Ovis aries: one gene and its partners. The protein of the gene in region 1 interacts with the protein of each later gene in a biochemical or structural test. Links are inferred from orthologs where the notes say so. Each region holds a gene or a part of one and is shown in the gene's direction. Other genes may lie near its edges. The genes, in order: RNF20, UBE2A, UBE2B, WAC and histone H2B type 1-B.

Evidence for each region.
Region 2: the proteins of RNF20 (region 1) and UBE2A form a complex in vitro, tested with the Homo sapiens proteins (4 studies listed by BioGRID, with this or other methods). The link is inferred for Ovis aries from reciprocal best matches to the Homo sapiens genes RNF20 and UBE2A.
Region 3: the proteins of RNF20 (region 1) and UBE2B form a complex in vitro, tested with the Homo sapiens proteins (4 studies listed by BioGRID, with this or other methods). The link is inferred for Ovis aries from reciprocal best matches to the Homo sapiens genes RNF20 and UBE2B.
Region 4: the proteins of RNF20 (region 1) and WAC form a complex in vitro, tested with the Homo sapiens proteins (2 studies listed by BioGRID). The link is inferred for Ovis aries from reciprocal best matches to the Homo sapiens genes RNF20 and WAC.
Region 5: of the proteins of RNF20 (region 1) and histone H2B type 1-B, one has a biochemical effect on the other in vitro, tested with the Homo sapiens proteins (2 studies listed by BioGRID, with this or other methods). The link is inferred for Ovis aries from reciprocal best matches to the Homo sapiens genes RNF20 and H2BC3.

What each region holds. Positions count from the first base shown.
Region 1 is NC_056055.1:21,572,855-21,576,886, reverse strand, and holds the start of RNF20 (E3 ubiquitin-protein ligase BRE1A), read left to right. Parts: upstream 1-1,222; 5' UTR 1,223-1,341; intron 1,342-2,410; exon of another isoform or gene 2,411-2,418; 5' UTR 2,419-2,436; coding exon 2,437-2,565; intron 2,566-4,032. UniProt on the Homo sapiens protein: Component of the RNF20/40 E3 ubiquitin-protein ligase complex that mediates monoubiquitination of 'Lys-120' of histone H2B (H2BK120ub1).
Region 2 is NC_056080.1:114,919,876-114,923,964, reverse strand, and holds the start of UBE2A (ubiquitin-conjugating enzyme E2 A), read left to right. Parts: upstream 1-1,277; 5' UTR 1,278-1,417; coding exon 1,418-1,461; intron 1,462-1,582; coding exon 1,583-1,663; intron 1,664-2,026; coding exon 2,027-2,052; intron 2,053-4,089. UniProt on the Homo sapiens protein: E2 ubiquitin-conjugating enzyme that accepts ubiquitin from the ubiquitin-activating enzyme E1 and transfers it to a E3 ubiquitin-protein ligase. In vitro catalyzes 'Lys-11', as well as 'Lys-48'-linked polyubiquitination.
Region 3 is NC_056058.1:43,581,263-43,585,574, forward strand, and holds the start of UBE2B (ubiquitin-conjugating enzyme E2 B), read left to right. Parts: upstream 1-1,509; 5' UTR 1,510-1,636; coding exon 1,637-1,680; exon of another isoform or gene 1,681-3,789; coding exon 3,790-3,870; exon of another isoform or gene 3,871-4,312. UniProt on the Homo sapiens protein: E2 ubiquitin-conjugating enzyme that accepts ubiquitin from the ubiquitin-activating enzyme E1 and transfers it to a E3 ubiquitin-protein ligase. In vitro catalyzes 'Lys-11'-, as well as 'Lys-48'- and 'Lys-63'-linked polyubiquitination.
Region 4 is NC_056066.1:35,470,343-35,473,854, reverse strand, and holds part of WAC (WW domain-containing adapter protein with coiled-coil), read left to right. Parts: intron 1-952; coding exon 953-1,071; intron 1,072-2,258; coding exon 2,259-2,445; intron 2,446-3,512.
Region 5 is NC_056073.1:30,872,111-30,875,890, forward strand, and holds the start of histone H2B type 1-B, read left to right. Parts: upstream 1-1,350; 5' UTR 1,351-1,396; coding exon 1,397-1,777; 3' UTR 1,778-3,780. UniProt on the Homo sapiens protein: Core component of nucleosome. Nucleosomes wrap and compact DNA into chromatin, limiting DNA accessibility to the cellular machineries which require DNA as a template.

The sequences.
Region 1 (4,032 bases):
ATGGTTCTCAGGCTTCTGCTTCACCCAAAGAGTTCATTTGGAGCCAGTTGCCTCTTTACCGCTGGGCAAAGTGTTCTAGTATCAGGAAACATGAACGCTTGTTTCCCACTGTTTACATTCTGACTTTACTGGGTAGTTTTTTATACCTCTGTGAGGCATACAGCTTTTCATCAATAAATTAGTTTGATTACCTTCCTATCATTAAAACACATTGTTTAATTGAGTGGAAAATAGCAGTTTGTTATTAACTAAAAAATCAATGCTTAATTAGCTTAAAATAGACGAGTGTTAAGATCAGAATCAACTTATTGATTTATGTTTATCTATTCCCTGGTCAATTTCTTGTTGAAAAGATACACAAAGATAGTAACTGTCCATCCCGTTTGCACATTAGAATCCAGTGGGGGTGGGGGAGGGTTGGGAAAATTTTTTTTTTTTTATAAAATGTGGATGCCCAGGCCCTACACAAGAGGGACCAAAACTCCCCAAGTGATTTTAATGTGTAGACAGAGCTGTCATACATTTCCCTGAAATAGCCACAACCTTCTAAACTCACCGAATCTCTTGGGTTTTCTCCAGAACTTTTCATTTCAGCAAAAAGGGGCTCACAGTAATTTTTCCGAGGTGTCTGAAACTTAGTCCTTTCCCCTGGAGATTGACGGCGCCATTAGCCAATCGCCAGTCTGAGCAGAACCAATAATAGGTAACAGAACAATAGGCACTGTAAACAAAAGGTACTCAGTTAAAAAAAAAAGGAGGGGGGACGCTTAAGGGCTTCCCTGGTGGCTCAGCTGGTAAAGAATCCGCCTGCAGTGCGGGAGACTCTGGTTCGATGTCCTGGAGAAGGGAACGGCTATCCACTCCAGTATTTTGGCCTGGAGAATTCCATGGACTGTATAGTTCATGGGGTCACAAAGGGTCGAACACGACTGAGCAATTTTCACTATTCACAGTAAAAAAAAAAAAGAAAGAAAGAAAAACAGGTCGCAGTAGCAATGGTTAACAAACGGGAAAAAAATCTGGGACGTTTCCTCTGACGTCAGCGAGGCCTCTACAAAGCGGCCGCCGGGTGCCCAAGAGCTGCTAGACCGCACTTACTTCCGGAAGCGGGGCGCCCTCGATGCGTGTCACTTCCGCCCGGTTGAGTCTTGTCCTTCTCGCTGCCAGATTGAAGCTACTTCCTCCTTTCTTTCCCTTCTTCCTCCCCTTGGCCCCGCCTCCCGGAAGCTTCGCTGGATCTTCACTTGTGGGTTAGGGGTGAGAGGTGGGAGGGCTACGCGGACCTTGGTGAATAACTGCCCCGCGTTCCACTCCCCGGCGGCGCAAGTTGGAAGAACTCAGGTTAGATCTCGGCCAAGGGCGGGACGGGACTCAGCGGGCAACGGGTATCCCCACCCTCTTCCGCTCCAAGGCCTCCCTCTCCCGGGCCTGTAATTGGCCTCTCCGAAGGCTGGGGTCCTTGGCCCCTCTGGAGTCGGATTGAGGCCATTGTCCTCCTCCTCTCTCTCCAGGCGAGGTCCCACTCAGGTTGCTGCCACCGATATCCTTCTCCTGGAGCTTCAGTTGGAAGCGGAGTTGTGTGTCGTCTCGGTGATGGCAGGGCTGATACCTTCAGTAGCAAAGTGCTTTAGCATCTATTCCGCTTCTTTTGAGCTCCGAAACCTTGGGAGGCGAGTAGGGCAGAGACAGTATGTGGTCACTTGCATTGTGCATATCAAAAATTCCTTTCCAAGGCAGCACGGCTCTCTAAGAGTTAGTACTGGGATTCACACGCAGATCTAGCTTCTCTAGGGTGACACAAATTCGTGGGGAGAGCGTTTAGAAATAGGGAAACTGCAAATATAAAAAGGAGAGTTAGCATTGCTGAGTGCATGCTTCGTGTTCGGCCTTATGCTAAAGTCTTTCTGTACTTATTCATTCCTTATGAGGAGCATAGGAAGCATATACTGTTGTTATTTCTGCTTTAGGAAATTGAGGCTCAGAGATGATATATGGCTTGTTCAGTGTTAATAAAGTAGACATCTCCCAGGTCTCTTCCAGCTCTCTGATTCTCCCAACACTGTATAATTAACTGATTTTCTGTATTTCTAAATTAAACTATACTTTCAGATGTTGGCATTTCAGGAAATGAGATGCCTGAAAATTTTCTAAGTTTCTTCATCCTTTGCCTGTTATCTTGTATTTTAGTAGCATCCTATTTAGAACTTTGTAGTTCTGTAAATTCAGCTGCGACTCTTACTTCACAATTTACTTTTCTCTTTCCAAGAGGAACCTGAGGATCAGGTTGCTAAGTGTGAAATTAATGGACCCGGGTTAAAGGATTGACAGGAAAAGTTGCTAGTTTTTACATCATAGATCGACTCTAGTTGCTCTCCTTGCCTATCTTACCTAAGATTTTTTTTCTCTCCAGGAAAACAGTTATCATCTTGTGCCACGATGTCAGGAATTGGAAATAAAAGAGCAGCTGGAGAGCCTGGCACATCTGTGCCTCCAGAGAAGAAGACAGCTGTTGAAGATTCAGGGACCACAGTGGAAACAATTAAACTTGGGGGTGTCTCTTCAACGGTATGTGGAAATAATGCTATGAGAGTGTGCTTTTCTTCTGTCAGTTGCAACCTAGAAGTAATAATTATGGAAGCCTTTTGGAGTAAGGGAAGTTGATTTGAAAAGAAGAGGGAGATAAAACAGCCAAAAGTAGATGAAATGATGTGTTGCTCATTTCTGAAAAAGAAATATAATGACACTTGATCTTTGTTTTTAAAAGTATATTCATATTCTTTGAAGAGTCTGGTGCCAGATTCAGCATTGATTGTAGTTATTTAGCAGTGGGAAGCTATACACTGATTTTTCATTCATTGGGAACTAAGGGGCCAGGTACTAAGAGGCAGTGTAGCAAAATCAATCATTGAGAGAGTGCCTTCTTATTTCCTTGTCTGTAAAATGTAATCATAGTATCTACCTCATTGGGGTTTTGAGAGGAGGAAATGAAAGGGTTCCTGTTAAGGAACGTTACTTTTTAACATGGTAAGTACTCAGTATATGTGCTCTATTAATAGTTTTTATTGGGCCAGATATTGTGTCTATAATGGTGAGTAAAATAGATATCTTCCTTATTGTTATGGAGTTGTCAATTTTTTTAGACAATTATACACCAAAAACTTATAGCAATGTTATATGTCCATTAGACACCATAATAAACTCACTGTAATAGGTAAGGAGTCTGTATTTTGGAACTTAACCATAGGGATATGGTGTAAAAATGCTTTACATTTGTATAGCCTACAAAACCATATCTACTTTTTGAAATTGAGGATCAGAGAGTAATAGGAACATTCAAGAGTAAATTATTGATGAAGCATTGTTTCTGGGTTTGCTGTCTGGGATTCATCAGCCTCCTGTTGCCAGCAGGTGATTTTGTCCTGGCACTGTCTCACATCATGCATCCGAGGGACATTTTTTCATTCAATAAACATAAATATTTGTTGAGCATCTGTTATTTGCCAGACACTGTGCTTTATACTAAGGACAGCTCCTGGACTTCAGTTTGTAGGTTGGCACTGAGAAAAGAACAGACTGTTATGATAGAGTGAAAAATGGGCTCTTCCCAGAGATAACTACATATGTGAAGGGATGCACAAAACACGCATCCCAGTTTGGACTTTATCCAGAAGGCAGTAAGGAGCCACTGGAAGGTTTTAAGCAGGGAAGTAACATGCTCTGACTTAGGTTTTGAAAAAAGATTGTAAGGGAGCTAAGTTTATAAGAAGGAGTTCAGTTAACAAAATTGTTCCCTCATTCCTTGTCTTTCTCCTCCCTCCTATTCTTCCTCTCTAAGGGTGGGGAGCTGGGGCAGGTATCCACTGATCCTGCCCCAGCTGGTTGACAGTTGCCCTTGAAGGCAATAACTTCTCTTCTGCACTTCAAGGTTTCTGTGGTAAACCAGCTGAGATTGTGGAACAAAAAACTTTGAGACTGCATGGTATGCTTCAAGTGGGAACACTGGTGGTGTGACTGGAGCTGTCCACCAGAGCT
Region 2 (4,089 bases), on another chromosome or scaffold:
GAACCACCAGGGAAGTCCCCAGAACTTGAGCCTCCGTAGACTCCTTCCTCTCTCTTGTCCCCACGTTCTGTTGGCAAGTCCTGTCTGTTTTTATTGTCATTGCCTGGTTCACTACCTCTCACCTGGAATACTTCAAGAGTCTTCTAATTGCTGTCCTGGGACCCGTCTCCAGTGAGTACAGCTCTGATCATGTTGCCTTTCTGCTCAACCAACTTCCAAGGAAGCCATCAGCTTGGCATTCAAAACTCTCCCTGAGTGAACCTAGACCTACTTTTCTCATATTTCCAAAAAATTCTTAAATGAGTATTTTGCCTACCTTCTATGTTATTTGGAGTTGACCTTTTTAAAAAACATTCTTTAAAACTGTTATTGCTTTTGCAGGTCCACATACTAACTGTGACTCTTCCCTGCAACCTACAGCTTTTTCACGTGCATCTTACCGTTCCTTTTACTTCAGACTCACTGCTCTTCCAATTCTCTGCAATCGGATATTCTCATACCCTTGGACTCTTCTGAACATATAGTAGCCACTTGGCTTGTTGAACTGTCAAGGGGAAATGTGGTTCCAGAGCCAAATTGTGAGTGCCCAAAGCTAAAGCCTCATTCTGCTTGCCTCCAGCTCTCATTCCCTCCCCCAGGACACACATCACCATTTCATTCTGCTTTGGGGGTGATCATCGGCCTAAATGTTGGGGCCCGCACATTCATCCCATAGAGAAGGGACCCTCGACCTCACCATCGAGGTCGATTTACTCTTTGGATGTTCAGTGATTTTGACCAGTCACACAGCTTCCTCCCCAGTTTCCCGTGTCCGTAGGAGGTGTACCCCCTAGATTTCTGGCTTTAGGAGAACTGGTTTCGCCTTCATCCACTCTGTCCTCATTGAGATTGAGACTTCATCCTTCTCCCCCTCAGCCACTGTGCGCACTTTAATAAGTGATCTGATCTCAAAAAAAAAAAAAAAAAAGAAGAAGAAGAAAAAGGAAAAGTAGAAAAAAAGCTTCCCACGGTTCGTCTTAGAATTGGCAAGTGAAGGTGGACCGATTCCACCACCCGATCCTATTGAGTTCCCGGCAATTACATGAGGCCCGCAGCTTGCTTCTCACCCTCGCTCCCCCCGTCCCTCAGGGGTTTAATGACCTAAGCAACTTTCCTCCCCCCCCCCACCCCTGTCCCGTCTTGGTACGGTCTGTCCGGCGTTTGGCGTTCCACCCCCGTCGTTTCCTTCCAGGTTGGTTCAGCCCCGGTCTACTCTGGGGTGGTGCTAAGCCGGCGCCAGATCGACCCTCGACTTAGGAGAGGCAGTGCGGTTCCTCTAGGCGGTTCTCCGTTGGTTCCTCCGGCTTCCTCAGCCTCCTCACCACCCGCGGGGACCCGAGAGCTCGGTGTATGCCCCACCCCTGACCCCGCTAGAGACATGTCCACCCCGGCTCGGCGGCGTCTCATGAGGGACTTCAAGAGGTAACCCGCCCGGGACTCTAGGGGCCGGGGGCTGCCGCCGGGGTACAGGGCGGGGCCGGCAGCGGGCCGGGCGGGCGGCGGGTTCAGGATAGCGGGAGGTTCCTGTGGTGTTTCCCTGTAGGTTACAGGAGGATCCTCCTGCCGGAGTCAGCGGGGCTCCGTCCGAGAACAACATCATGGTTTGGAACGCGGTCATTTTTGGGTGAGTCTGCGTTCCGGATGGTGGTGAGGGCCGGGGGACCCGTGTGCCCTCTGGGACCCACCCGGTGCGGAGGCGGGGACTGAGAGAGAAGGTTTGGGGCTCGTTGGGCCTAGGCGCCTCCCCGGAGCCTGTGCCTCGATTAGCTCGGTTCGCGCTGCCAGGGGAACCGTTTGGGGTTCGGAGGGGGGCGGGGCGGGGAGCGGTGGCGCTTCGGCCTGCCTGGGGTTTCTGAGCCCCAAAGCTCTATTGGTCGTGGCTTTGCAACCCGGGAAGCGGTGGTTTACCAGAGGTGGGGCGAACAGATGAACCGGGGAGAGAGGAGCCCCTGATGTGGGAACTGACTTGTTTCTCTCTGTGTTGTAGGCCTGAAGGGACCCCGTTTGAGGATGGTAAGAGAGTTTCTTTACCCACCTTTTGGGACCCTGATCTTCTGGGGAAAGTGTTTCCCAGTCAGCCTGGAAGTGCCTCCTACTTAATAACCCGCTTCTCCCTAGCCTTTGCCTGCTAAAGACTTGAGAGGAGTCCAGTCTGTGGCAGGTTGTTCTGGCTATTGTCCGCTTGACTAGAACTGCTGCTTAAAAAAATCTGAGTAAGGCAGTCACTTTTTAAAAGGAGCATAATACCACTGATGTTAAGGGTTTGTGAGGTTTGGGTTGTGATCTTGCTAAATTCAGGACCACCACCCCCTCCATCAGGATCAACCCAACCACTTGCTGATCAACTCGGAGACCCCAGGGACTGTCTGGTTCAGAATTCTGTCACAAGGGTGGGAACTGTGTTCAGCAGGTGCCTCATGTGTGGTGTTGGATGTTGAATGGATGCAGGAATCCCTTGCACACAACTGTCTGGTTTCTATAATCTGACATTGAGTGCTTTTCAGCCTCACTGCTTTAAAGTGGTCTTTAATGGCACCTTCAATAGCCAGTTCCTTGTTTCTTATTTTTAAATGAGTTTTCAGCGTGTGCTTTTATCAAGACTTTATGATCAGTAATCTCAAGGCAGTTTCACAATTGAGGGGAGCCTTAAAGTACTCTCTTACCAGTGTCCAACCTACTTCAAGATACTACACGTACTTACAGGTACATGATTTTTAGGTTTAGGTTTGACTTTTAAAAACACACTAAGTTGCTTTTTAAGGACTTTTTAAAGCTTCTTGTTTTGATATAATTATAGATTTGTGTGGAATTGTAATAAATAATAATACAGAGAGACCTTGTGTACCCTTCACCTGTTCCCCCCTCTCCCCTGGTAACATCTGGAATGACTGTGCACAACCAGGAAATTGACATAGATATAGTTTTATGTGCACTCAAATGTGTGTGTATGTGTGTGTATAGTTAATTGCTTTTGAAAGCTTAATGCATTTAAAAAGATGATTAAAAGTATTTGAACTACTGATTGACATCTTTAATATTTGAGGTATTTTTAAACAGAAAAGGGTCTTTCTGTTATTTATTTTCTTCTCAATGCCTTATATTCCTTTGGTCATATAGCCTTTGAGAGAAATCTGCACACATATGCACACACATATGCATACACCTCCATTTGAAGGTGGCAACAAAAGCATTTCTACAAACTACTCAGTACAAGCAAAGTTGCCAAGTCAGATTGCCTTTGGATGTTACCAACCACAGCATGTTGTGAGGTAAATGAATACAAACCAATTCTAGGATTCGTCTCAAACACTCAGATTTCCCTAGCAGATTGTAAACAGTAATCTAGGTGGTTTGTTTCTTCTCTGCCTTCACCTCCTGGGTAAATATCACTGTTCTTCAGTGCTTTGATAAAAAGAAATGACAGCAAGGGAGTATGATCCTGAAGGCATACTACTTTGGTGTGTGAGGTAAATCATTTGAACTGATTCTGATCCATAGCAGAAGCTAGCTAGGCTTAGTTTTCCTCCATTAGATCGGTTGCTGGTTCTTCATACTTAAGCTTTATGTGCAGATTAGCTGTGTATTTGCTTTAGCTCCAGCAAAGCAAATTATTTTCATTGGCTTCTTTTTTCCTCCTGATTTTTATTCGGACTGCTTTATGCTGGGCGCAACTTTATTAATAGTACATCGCTTTGCTAGGGGTTGGCAACTTAAATATTTCAAGGGTGCTTCTCTCGCTTTAAGTGGTATGAATTGGAGAAGTACTTATGGAATCCATTATCTACCTGGACCTTCCCCCTTGACATTACTGGTTCTATTTTTGATGATGTGTCTCTCCACCCTGACATTACTGAAAGGAATTACTCAGGCTGAATGACAGTACCCTTTTCTGATTCATTCTTTTGAGCAGTCTGCTATCCATGAATGCTTCCTCAGGTGTCTCAAACACTAACCAAGGTTACAAGAATTTTTTTGACCATTTAAAAATACTTGTTATTTATAGCTAGGAAATTTACTGGAAAGGCCCGATTAGGAACAAGTGGCATAGTT
Region 3 (4,312 bases), on another chromosome or scaffold:
CTTAGAGAATTACATTTGTCGGTGGGTATCTATCAAGTATTAGATCTGGCTAACTTGATTACCAAGGCATTTAATAAAAGCAAGAGAAAGAATTCAGGGATTGAAGAAAGAGAGGTACCAGAAAAGTAGGGGAAACTAACCCTTTCTAGTTCAATGAAAGTATGCCCAACGCCATATTCCTCATTCTGTCTTACTGTAACACCTTGGGTTGAGGAATCACCCAAATGGACTTAAAGAGCTCAGGGTTCAGCCAAAAAAAAAGTCTTTAAGAACAGAATTGGAGGCGATAGAGGAAGGAAACTCAATGACTAGAAATAATGTCAGAATTCCAACGGCCAGTATCTCTGAGCCCCGGTGGGGGACGTTTCAGGCTATTAACTTACTAGTGTTGAAAATCTGAAATAAATTACTCAGGCTAGATATACAACCCCTATCCACGTCTGCATGATCTCTCCCCCACATGTGAGTCAAACTTTTAGGTTTGGCAACTAGTCACCTACACTCTCTTTATACACACTCTCTATGATCAAACCTGCACATTTCTTGACAAATACAATGGTACCCCACTGTAGACCAATCCAAGGACTCTGACACAAAGCCTCAAATAAGAGCAGACTCATAAAGGATAAACAAAATTCCGTAATCCTGTGGGGATTGTAAACAAACATTAAACAATCTGTACACCGTTCTTTAATCTCTGCCCAGCATCGCCAACCCTGGAAACACACTGCAATGCTCATACAGTAATATTTGGTGGCCCTAAGGAAGCATTTCAGGGGATTTCGCTTTGTATGGGCCTCTGCATTCAGCTGAGGAAAACGGAGGTCCCTTCACTTTTCCTCAGATGCCAGATTTGATAAGCCATTGAGCCAACCAGAGGGGAGTTTTAAATCCAAATTATTTGGGGCTCTATTTTAAAGATTTAAGAAGCAAAACAAACTACTGCTTCCGACACAATCTCATCAATAGCTGTCCACAGGACAAAATGGAGAAAAAACATAAAAGTGCCTACCAGCCCTCAGCCCATAAATTTAACTACCGGGCTGAAAGACGGCTGAAAGTTAGATCCAGGAGACGCTCTCACGTGATCCGTCCTAATGGCGTCATAGGGACACGTGGTTCTAGATACTTCGTCCCCTCCCCCTCGGAGGTGGATTGTTGACAACGCCGCCGGCAGTCACGTGATCTTACGTCATCCTACCTCCTTTCCCTGAAATCTCTGGCCCCGGATGCGTCCCTCTCTCCCCACCCGGCTGAGCCTAAACTAGTGAAAGAGGGGGAGACGGGTTGGTGTTGTTTCAGTTCCGGTACTTCTTTATCACAACCTCCAGTCTGAGCATAAGGAACAGTAATTGGTCAATTCGTTCAAGGAGACAAAAGGGATAAGGTCCCTGGTGAAGGGGCCCCGTAACTAGCTCTCCTACGTCCCGTTCCCTTCTCCCCCACCCCTCACTGCATGGTACCGGCGGAGGGCGGAGGGATCTGGAGGCGGCGGAGGGAGACGTCATTGCAGGGTTGTTTGTGCAACCTCGGCAGCGGCGGCGGTGACCCACAGTGATTCGGCCGCCGCGCCGGGGGGTGGGGGGGCTGCGCGGGACTCTTTTCTTTCAGACTGACCGCGGGGCTGCTGGGGAGCATGTCGACCCCGGCCCGGAGGAGGCTTATGCGGGATTTCAAGAGGTAAGGGCCTTCATTTTCGCCTGAATGACGACTCCTCCCCGAAGCTCCGGGGCTAGGGTGGGGATCCGGGACACCTTCCCCTCTTGACCCTAAGAGGGCTGCTGTGGGCCCAGGGGGACAGATGGAAGCCCAGTTCCAGCCCCGCTTTAGCACTCTCTTCTCCTTGGTTGTTCACTTGTCCTACGTAAGAAATTTTGATACTTCCTCACCACCACCCTACCCCCACAAAAAAGTAAAAAGATGGCTATGGTTTGTCCTACGATTCCCTGCTGCCCACTGCGGCCAGTTGCCTGATACCTCGCCCTGGCTTTCAAATCTCATCCTTCGCCTCTGCACCCTGCGGTGCCTCTTCTCTCTGCCCTAAGAGCGAGCCCTTGCAGAAGCCTTTCCACCGCTAGCTACACCAGTCAGCTTTGTTCGATGGCCTTGCCGCCTTTCCGACTGCCAGGGTTGGGGCCAACCCCCGCCTCCCTCCCCATTCTTTCTGCAGTGAGGGTGGGGTCTGATGCGCGAGGGCCGGAGGTTGTTAACCCATCCTCCGAAACCCGACTCTTCCCCCCCCAATCCCTCCCCGCCCGCCTGAAAGGACCTTGAGAACTGGCTTAGAGGGCTGCGATTCGGGCTGGCAAACCCGGCTGCCAGTGCTTTCTGGAACTCAGCTCTGTGGCCTGGTGTGTAAAGACCTATCTATAGCCTCCAAGGTCTGGAAAAATGCCTTTCTGGAGGCTGGGGCTAAGCTGATACTCCCTGAGCCTCTTTTGTAAAATAGGGTTTTGTTAGATATTAGGGTTGATGAGGAGGAAGTGACTTTTTTCCCCCCAGTTGTTTTACTTTGAATGCTTACAGGTACGGAGAAGAAAATAACCAAGAAAACTTAGCGTTACGCTCCCGTGCGCATTTATAAGTGTTTTTCTAGGGAGATCTGCCCTGCTCGAGAGAAAAAATCCAGTGTAAAAACTTGGATTGGCTTATCAGGAAGTAACCTCTCAACTTCATTGTAAACCTTTAAATGAGGCACTTGGAAGCCATTGTTTGGGGCTTTGCCCAGTTTGGCCTTGAGTGTATTGGTAACTTAGCCTTTATCTTTGGTGGGCGATATCACGCCCCGTATCTTCCAAGGGTTCTTCTTTTCGTCGTGGCCTGTACTGCTTAAGGTTGACTAAAAGCCATTTTGGGGGACTAATTCCAAGAATCATATCACATGACGGTGTGTTTATGTGTGTGTGTGTGTGTGTGTGTGTGTGTATATTTAGTGTCGCGTTTACTTTTTTTCCTGAGATGACAGTTTTAAAAGGAGATACTCCTTTTTGTGCAAAACTCTGTTTCTACAGCTTGAAACCATAGATTTCAGATTAGCTCCCATGAGTGAAATTCCAATAATAAAATTTCGAGGTTCCTGGCCTTTGGTACCCTGGTTTCTCATTGCAGTTCTCTGCTTAATTCTGAGTTGTGTGCTTGGCACCTTCGGTAGTTTTCCAAGGGTCGTCTTTTGCAAGAGTTTGTAACAGGTGTTGGAAGGTAGCTCTGTATATGGGCGCATGATCTGAGAGGTAAAATGCAGTATTGGTGCAGAGCTTTTAAAATAGGGACTGAGGGAAAACCTAGCCAGAGCTTTGCTTACTCTAAAAGCTGCTGCTAACGCAAATGGAATAAAGTAGTTCTACTGCCCAAAACTAGTTTCCTGATTAAACTGGATGCAAGTGTTTTTCAGTCATTTAATGTTTACACTGAGGTGGGGTCTTTATATTTTGTTTGGGGGAGAGTTTTTTTGGTGGCCATGTTGCCCAAGTAGCTTTGGTTAGGACTCACACAGCCTTTGCATGTTTACAGTAGCAAAATTGATAGTTGAGTAAATAGTGTTTTTTTACACTTGAGGTTTTTCCTTTGTTGTTATTGTTAAAAGTAGTTCTTGAACAGATATCTTAACCTTGGTGATATTTGAAGAGGGATGACTCCCAAGCCATTTAAAGTGGTATGGTTTATTCCAGCTCAGCACAACAAGAAAATGGATTTAGTTTGTTTCTCAAAGTAGATGGTTGAAAGATGTTTGACTGGCCTTCTTAGTGGCCTTAATGTTCAACTTTTAAAATTTCTATTCTGGATTTCTAGATTGCAAGAGGACCCACCTGTGGGTGTCAGTGGCGCACCATCAGAAAACAACATCATGCAGTGGAATGCAGTTATATTTGGGTGAGTTGAAAGAAATAACAAATGGTAGGTATGGTGATTCTTTTAAGAAAATTGAATGTATAACAGCTAGGAAGGGAAACTTTCCTAGGGATGAGGGATCTTACAGAAACTGTAAGATTTAAAAAAAATTCTGATAGAGTTTTGGCAGTCACATAAAATTTGATTTTATAATCAGTGGGTTTTATTTGATAAAAATATCATTTGAGACTACAGGAGAATGATAAGTTTGTACAAAATGTGCCAAGCAAATGCTTAGTATGTATTCTACTAGAACTGTAAAAAGAGTAGGAACCAAAAATATTGATAACTTCCACCATAGTAAGAATTTAAATAAAAAATGTTTGACAGCTTAATGTGAAATAACTGTATGGAGCCTTTCAAGGTGCAGTCTTATATTTTACATATAGTATGTATTGCATGTAGGCGTATTTGTATAAGAGCA
Region 4 (3,512 bases), on another chromosome or scaffold:
TTAAAATGTGAGTTTTCGCACAAGAGACCTATTCTTAGAGCTTATAACTTACCCTGTGGTATTCTAAGAGCACAGTGAAAGATGGGTGTACACAGCATAGTGGTTGTGTTGGGTTTACAGTTGATCGTAACATTGTCACTTCAAATCCTGTAAGCAGATGGCTTGTAGTTTTTTGCATTATAAACCTTTCAGATTGTCTTTAAAAGTAAGTGGGCATTTGATCTTATATATATCTTATTAAAATGTTCTTTATAAAAGAACATGCTTTTGTATATATTTTGGACTTACATTGAAAACTGCTTGTTTTCTGTCACATGTGTGTATGAAAATATGTGTCCACAGTGGTAACCATGGACCTCTTGGTCTGCCACTGTAGGGTGCCATCTCTTTGAAGCCCACTCCAGTTAAATTGCATATGGGCCATTTCTCATTCTCTGATAGACAAGTCTATACATTCTCTTCATTTGTGATTGAATTTTAAGCAGCTGTATTTGTATGATGTGGTGTAATATATTTATTGATACAGAAGTAATAGTAAATCAGAAAAGATGTTACAGTATACTGGAAAGAAAATGGAGCTTGAAATCAGGAGAACTAGTTTCTTAAGCTGGTTGGCTTAAGTAACTGTTTGGCCCTAACTACGTAACCTTTGGAAACTCACTTAATTCCTCTTCTTTAAATCTCCATATTTTATATTGTTCAAGATTACTAACTAGACTTGGAGGGATCTGAAGATTTGGGCCCTAAATGACAATAGTTTACATAATTAAGTGTGGCTGTATCGCTAATACTGATCTTATTGTGAACATTTAAGACAATTCTTACCTTTAAAAAAAATCACTGAACATAAATAATTGGAAGTTTTCATTGGCAGAACTTTTGCTCTTATCTAGTTTCCACTGCTGTTTGTTTATGTGGTAGAAGCCTGTCTCATCAGATTTTGACATTCCAGGTTAGTACTCCAGTAGTTAAGCAAGGACCAGTTTCACAGTCGTCCACACAGCAGCCTGTAACTGCTGACAAGCAGCAAGGTCATGAACCTGTCTCTCCTCGAAGCCTTCAGCGCTCAAAGTAAGTTGATTTTGTGTGTTGAGAAAACACTGTTTTTTCCTTCTATTACCATATTATTTGGATATTATATATGCATAGTAGACCTTGATCTTGGAAGAATCCATGGATAGCCTAACATAGTTTTGTGTATTATAAAATTTACAAAGGCAGATCTTATTAGATTGTCTTTAGTAGTGAATCCTGAGTTATTTTGAGGAAGAGGCTCTCTGTTTAGAATTTTGCTTGATGGAATACAATGGGAGTAACTATATGTGACACTTCACTTGTAGAGGCACATGATTTTATACTACTTCATTCATTGGAAGTGATAACTTCCCAATAGCAGTTTTGGATTTGAGTTTATTGATAAAGCCAAAAACCTCACATCTGAAACTTGGGTCAGTATTTTCCAACTGATGTGTGTAAGGCCTTCCTGATAGCCTCAACTCTGAACCTTTAGTCTTTAGTGGCTGCAGTATAATTTTAAATATACTCAGTGATGAAAACTCTTCATCTTTTGGGAGACTTCATTTTTGGAAATAAGTGAAATTCATTCAGAGCAAAGTCTGGTGTGAGGCAGCTGGAAAGTCAGCTTTGGGGTATTACATTCTTGATTCTCATCACCACATCCCCAAATCCTGGCCCAAACCATACAGGTGAAAAGAAGATATGCAACCTCAGAGTGTTCCCCATTTTTGGTCTTATTTGCCACTGAACTCATTCATTGTGAGGCAGTTACAGTGTCTGTTTTGCTTCGCATTATTTCACCCTCTGATTACACGCTTTACTCTGATTTTAAACAGTCAAAACCTCTGACCTTTTCACCCTCCATGTCTTCATGTATTTAAGATATATTGATGTGCCTCATATCTACAACTGTTCTAATGTGACCATTGCTTAGTCACATCCTTATTAGTGTTTGTAGTATACAAAGTCACAGGTTCCACTGTCAAGTTTGGGTGAGTACAGATATTTTAAATTCAGCCCTGACATTACTGTTTAAAGGGCTCTTTTAACCTCCAGACGTGTATTAGGAATATGATGTAAATATTCTTTGGATTTGAAATTATACTTACTTAATATTAAAATAATGTTATTCTTAGGAATTTGGGTATCTTTAAGTTAATGAAAGGTATTGACAGGCAGTGTTTAGGAAACCTGGAAGCCACTCTTAACCATGCTCCATGCTCGGTCGTCTTCTCTCGTAGCAGCCAGAGGAGTCCGTCACCTGGTCCGAATCACACGCCTAGTAGTAATGCACCGAGCACAGCAGTTGTGCCACAGAACTCCTCTGCCCGACCCCCGTGTTCACTAACACCGACGCTTGCAGCACACTTCAATGAAAATCTCATCAAGCACGTTCAAGGATGGCCTGCAGATCATGCGGAGAAGCAGGTACGTCACAGTCACAGCAGGTGTTCTGCCTGTGGTTTGCTAGCAGCTCAGTTCCACTTTGAGAAAATCTGACCCGGACCCTGTGGATTCGAGCAGTCTTTAAAACAACTAATTTCTCATTAGATTGTCTGTGGTCACTTTGTAAATATTTTATACGTACTTACAGGATATTTGTGAGGTAACTTTCTGTTTTTCACATATTTTAATTATCATTATAGCTCCCATTATCAAGTGCTCAGCGTTTAGCTCTGTGCTAAGTGCTTTATGTTTATTTTTTCCATTTTCTAAAACTACTGATCATGAGTTTTTCGTTTTACTAATGAGGCCCTTAAGACCAAATGATCTGTACCAAGGTCACTCAGTTACTAGATATGACTCAAAGCCAGCATGCTTTTCCTACTCAGCCAGCTACTCTGATCCTTTTAGTACAGTTGACCCTTGAACAACTTGGGTGAGGGGCTGACTCTCCACACAGTCAAAAATCCAAGTATGGTTTATAGTCAGCCCTCCATATCCACAGTCCCTCATCCCCAGATCAACCAACCATGGATTGTGTAGGACAGGGGTGTTGATTATTGGGAAAAATCCATGTGTAAGTGGGCCTGCCTGCACAGTGTAAACCTCTGTTGTTCAAGGTTCAACTAACTACTGAAACTTAGAAAACACTTGTACTTTGGGATGAAGGACCAACCCTAGCACATTCCAGTGATTGTCACTGGCTGCTCCATTTTATCAAATGACTAACCATCTGAAATGTTCTGTAAGCTCATGGTCATGCATTGTGTATCTCTTGATATGGGGATACAGTAAGGCCCTTTTATCAGTGTTATACCTGGACTTCACTTTGGCTGATCCAGCATTTTTTATTAACCACAAATCATGAGTCCTTCTATCTTACTGCTGTACTACCATGAGACTGAAAATAGTATCTTCTCAAGAAACGTGAGGGGTGAAATCTTAAAGGAATACACTTCACCATTAGAGATGGTTAAAAAAAAAAAAAAAATCATTCCCTCCCCCCCGATCCATGAGCATTAAGATTTATTTTATAATCTTGATATAAAGTT
Region 5 (3,780 bases), on another chromosome or scaffold:
TACGGGTGGGACCTGATATTCTTAATTCTTGACACGTTCTCAAGATTGTCAGTATTTCTGCTCCAATCCTAAATTGAATACAATTGATCTTTCTCCCCCACAGTTGGGTCAGCTTTAAGTAAATCTCGAACTACCAGGACTACCACTTTCTAACTTTGGTCATCAGATCTCCCCTAATTCTGAGTTTATCTTCTGTAAAACTACATGCCAGGGTCCCTGGGTGGATGATTTTAAAAAATCACATGCATGCAAAGGTGGAATTGATGACATATATACACTGGATCCTGATAAACTTCCATGGGGGGGCGGGGGGATTGTTTTAAAATTTTGAAAGCAAAGGCAAGAGAAAAATAATCTTGGCAAGAGTAATTGCTTTTTGTTATCCTCAAGACTAAGTACCGCTCTAGTCTCCCCTTCTCTTTATAAAGGCCCTTGTGGATTACAAAGGTTTCGCCAGCTATGCAGTAAAATAATGCTTGTGAGAACATTTCCAGAGTCTTTGTTTTAATGTCATTTGTCTTTTTACAATTAACCACCTACGCAGCATAACCTGGCTACCAGCTTTTTTTTTTTTTTTTTAATAAAAATGTGGATGGCTGTGAAAAGTCTTTGAATAGTTTATTAAAAAGTTTCTTCTTTTGTCTAGGCTTTACTTCCCCTTCGCCTTGTGGTGACTCTCCGTCTTCTTGGGCAGCGGCACCGCCTGGATGTTGGGCAGGACGCCGCCCTGAGCGATGGTGACTTTGCCCAGCAGCTTGTTCAGCTCCTCGTCGTTGCGGTTAGCCAACTGCAGGTGACGCGGGATGATGCGGGTCTTCTTTTTGTCCCGGGCCGCGTTGCCGCCAGCTCCAGAATATCAGGCGTCAGGTACTCCAGCACCGCCGCCAAGTACACCGGAGCGCCGGCTCCAACCCGCTCGGTATAGCTGCCCTTGCGGAGCAGGCGGTGCACTCGCCCCACTAGAAATTGTAAACCAGCCCGGGAAGACCGAGTTTTGGCTTTAGCTCGAGTTTTGCCTCCTTGTTTACCACGTCCAGACATAGTTACTTTGTAAAACTCAACAGCAAAACTTGTGAGCAGGAAAAAAAAAACCCTGGACGACCAAGGGGGGATAAAAATATTTTTTTAATAGACAGTAGAGGGATGCGCCACTTAGGTCTCCTATTGGTCAGAAGGACGAAGGTTTTTCTATCCAATAGAAAGAGAATATGTGTATCCCTTATTTGCATAAACCCCTCCCTCCAGACCTTAGTGAACCTGTACTGATCTTACCCAATCAAAAGTGAGAATTTTTCATTCCTCATTTACATTGAAGCGCTATAAATATCTGGTTTTTGAACTCATACTGGTAATCTTAGTCGCGGAGGCTATCATCTAACGTTTCTAGGGCAAAACAATGCCTGAGCCGTCTAAATCTGCTCCCGCTCCTAAAAAAGGCTCTAAGAAAGCCATCACTAAAGCACAGAAAAAAGATGGCAAAAAACGCAAGCGCAGTCGTAAAGAGAGCTACTCTATTTATGTGTACAAGGTTCTGAAGCAGGTCCATCCAGATACTGGTATCTCATCTAAGGCCATGGGTATCATGAACTCCTTTGTGAACGACATTTTCGAGCGCATCGCGGGCGAGGCGTCACGCCTGGCGCATTACAACAAGCGCTCGACCATCACATCCAGGGAGATCCAGACGGCCGTGCGCCTGCTGCTGCCCGGGGAGCTGGCCAAGCATGCTGTGTCTGAGGGTACCAAGGCCGTCACTAAATACACCAGCTCCAAATGAGTGCCTGCATAGGCAGTTAATCCAAAGGCTCTTTTCAGAGCCACCCACTTTGTCGAAGAAAGACTGTAACTGCCGTTTTCTCGCGCGGTAAATGCAATTCTGTCCTATTGATTTAAGCATCTACATCTACTCTAGTGGGGTTAATAGTTGAAGCAATTTTGGAGCCAGAACCTCTAGCTACTTGAAAAGTCTCTTGGCATTTAAGAGACGTTCCCCGAAAGACACATCTTCCCGTTTCCCATGGACTAAGCATCCAGATGCTTGGAAATGCTCACTCTTCACGAGGCCTCTTAAAATTTTTGATGGTGATTAGAATTTTCCTTCCGGGTAAGGAAGTGGTTGGGGGGATTTCAGGGTCCCGATCCTCAAGGCATCTTTATGCAGGTTGTCTTTTCAGGGCAGGTTGCAGGGAAGGCAAATCAGTGGGGTTTTCTCCCTGTTATTGGGGAAACTAAGCAAAATCACCTGTTGTTCCTTTAGCAAACCGCGGACACTTTTATAAGGTATTAAACTCTGCACATGGTTGAAATGAGATTTTCTAATTTCTCATTATAATTGTATAGTGATGGAAACAGCCAATGTAAAGCCGTTTCCATTTTTCTTGCATTCCTGATATCTGGGTTCCAGTTTCCTGGGTCATTTACCTTCCTGGGATGGCACTAGAAGAGGTTGAAAGTGTGGCACTCCCAATTCTAGGAGGGGAAATGGTTTGAATTTTCTGACCTCCCCATCTGGTGTCACCTCATTTGCAGACTAGGAGGGCCCCAGGTGGAGAGGAAGGTGTGCTAATTTTTCTTGGGAAAATTTTTTAAGAGAACATACTACTCCCAAAATAATCCTGATAGGAAGGGCCTTGGTTGTGGAAAAGGAGTCAGTGGGGCTGGATGAGGGGAAGAGCCACGAAAAGTCAGCGGTTGACTGCATATTAAAAAGGTAGGGGAAAGTCTTTTCTTTGGTTTATAAGCACCATATTTAGGTGACATACATCAGTGTGTTTGGATAAGGAAATAAAAACTCGAAGTAGAATTTCTCAAAAAGACCACTTTTAAATTTTGGAGTTAAATGAACTTTTCCCAGATCCCACACAAATTAGGTGACTGCTATATGAGAAGACTTCCCTGTCTCAGCATACATAAAACATACCTGTGAAACAGAAGCTTGTCTTAGAAGTTAAAAATCTTGGTTTTTAGATTGTAACCCCCTCCACTCATCTCTGGGGGGAAAAGAAAGAAAAATTGAACTCAAGCTGCAGTTTCAGAATTGCTCTCTGGAGGGATGAGATCTTAGTGGTAATATAATCTCAGTCTCTTCAAAATTATCTCCTGGGGTAGAACTTATTATTTGCCTGCTTGCTTGCTTCTATCTTCCTTCTCCTTGCCCCTTCCTTTCTTCCTAATAGTTGATATTTTACAGAACTATATACAGTCAGCAAAAAGACCAGGAGCTGACTGTGGCTCAGATTATGAACTCCTTATTGCCAAATTCAGACTTAAATTTAAGAAAGTAGGGAAAACCACTAGACCATTCAGGTATGACCTAAATCAAATCTTTAATGATTATTTCAGTGGAAGTGAGAAATAGATTTAAGGGACTAGATCTGATAGAGTGCCTGATGAACTATGGATGCAGGTTCATGACACTGTAGGAGCAAGACCATCCCAAAGAAAAAGAAATGCAAAAAAGCAAAATGGCTGTCTGAGGAGGGCTTATAAATAGCTGTGAAAAGAAGAGAAGTGAAAAGCAAAGGAGAAAAGGAAAGATATACCCATTTGAATACAGAGTTCCAAAGAATAGCAAGGAGAGATAAGAAAGACTTCTTCAGGGATCAGTGCAAAGAAATAGAGGAATATAATAAAATGGGAAAGACTAGAGAGCTCTTCAAGATCATTAGAGATATTAAGGAAACATTTCATGCAAAGATGGGCTCAATAAAGGACAGAAATGGTATGGACCTAACAGAAGCAGAAGATATTAAGAAGAGGTGGCAAGAATACACAGAAGAA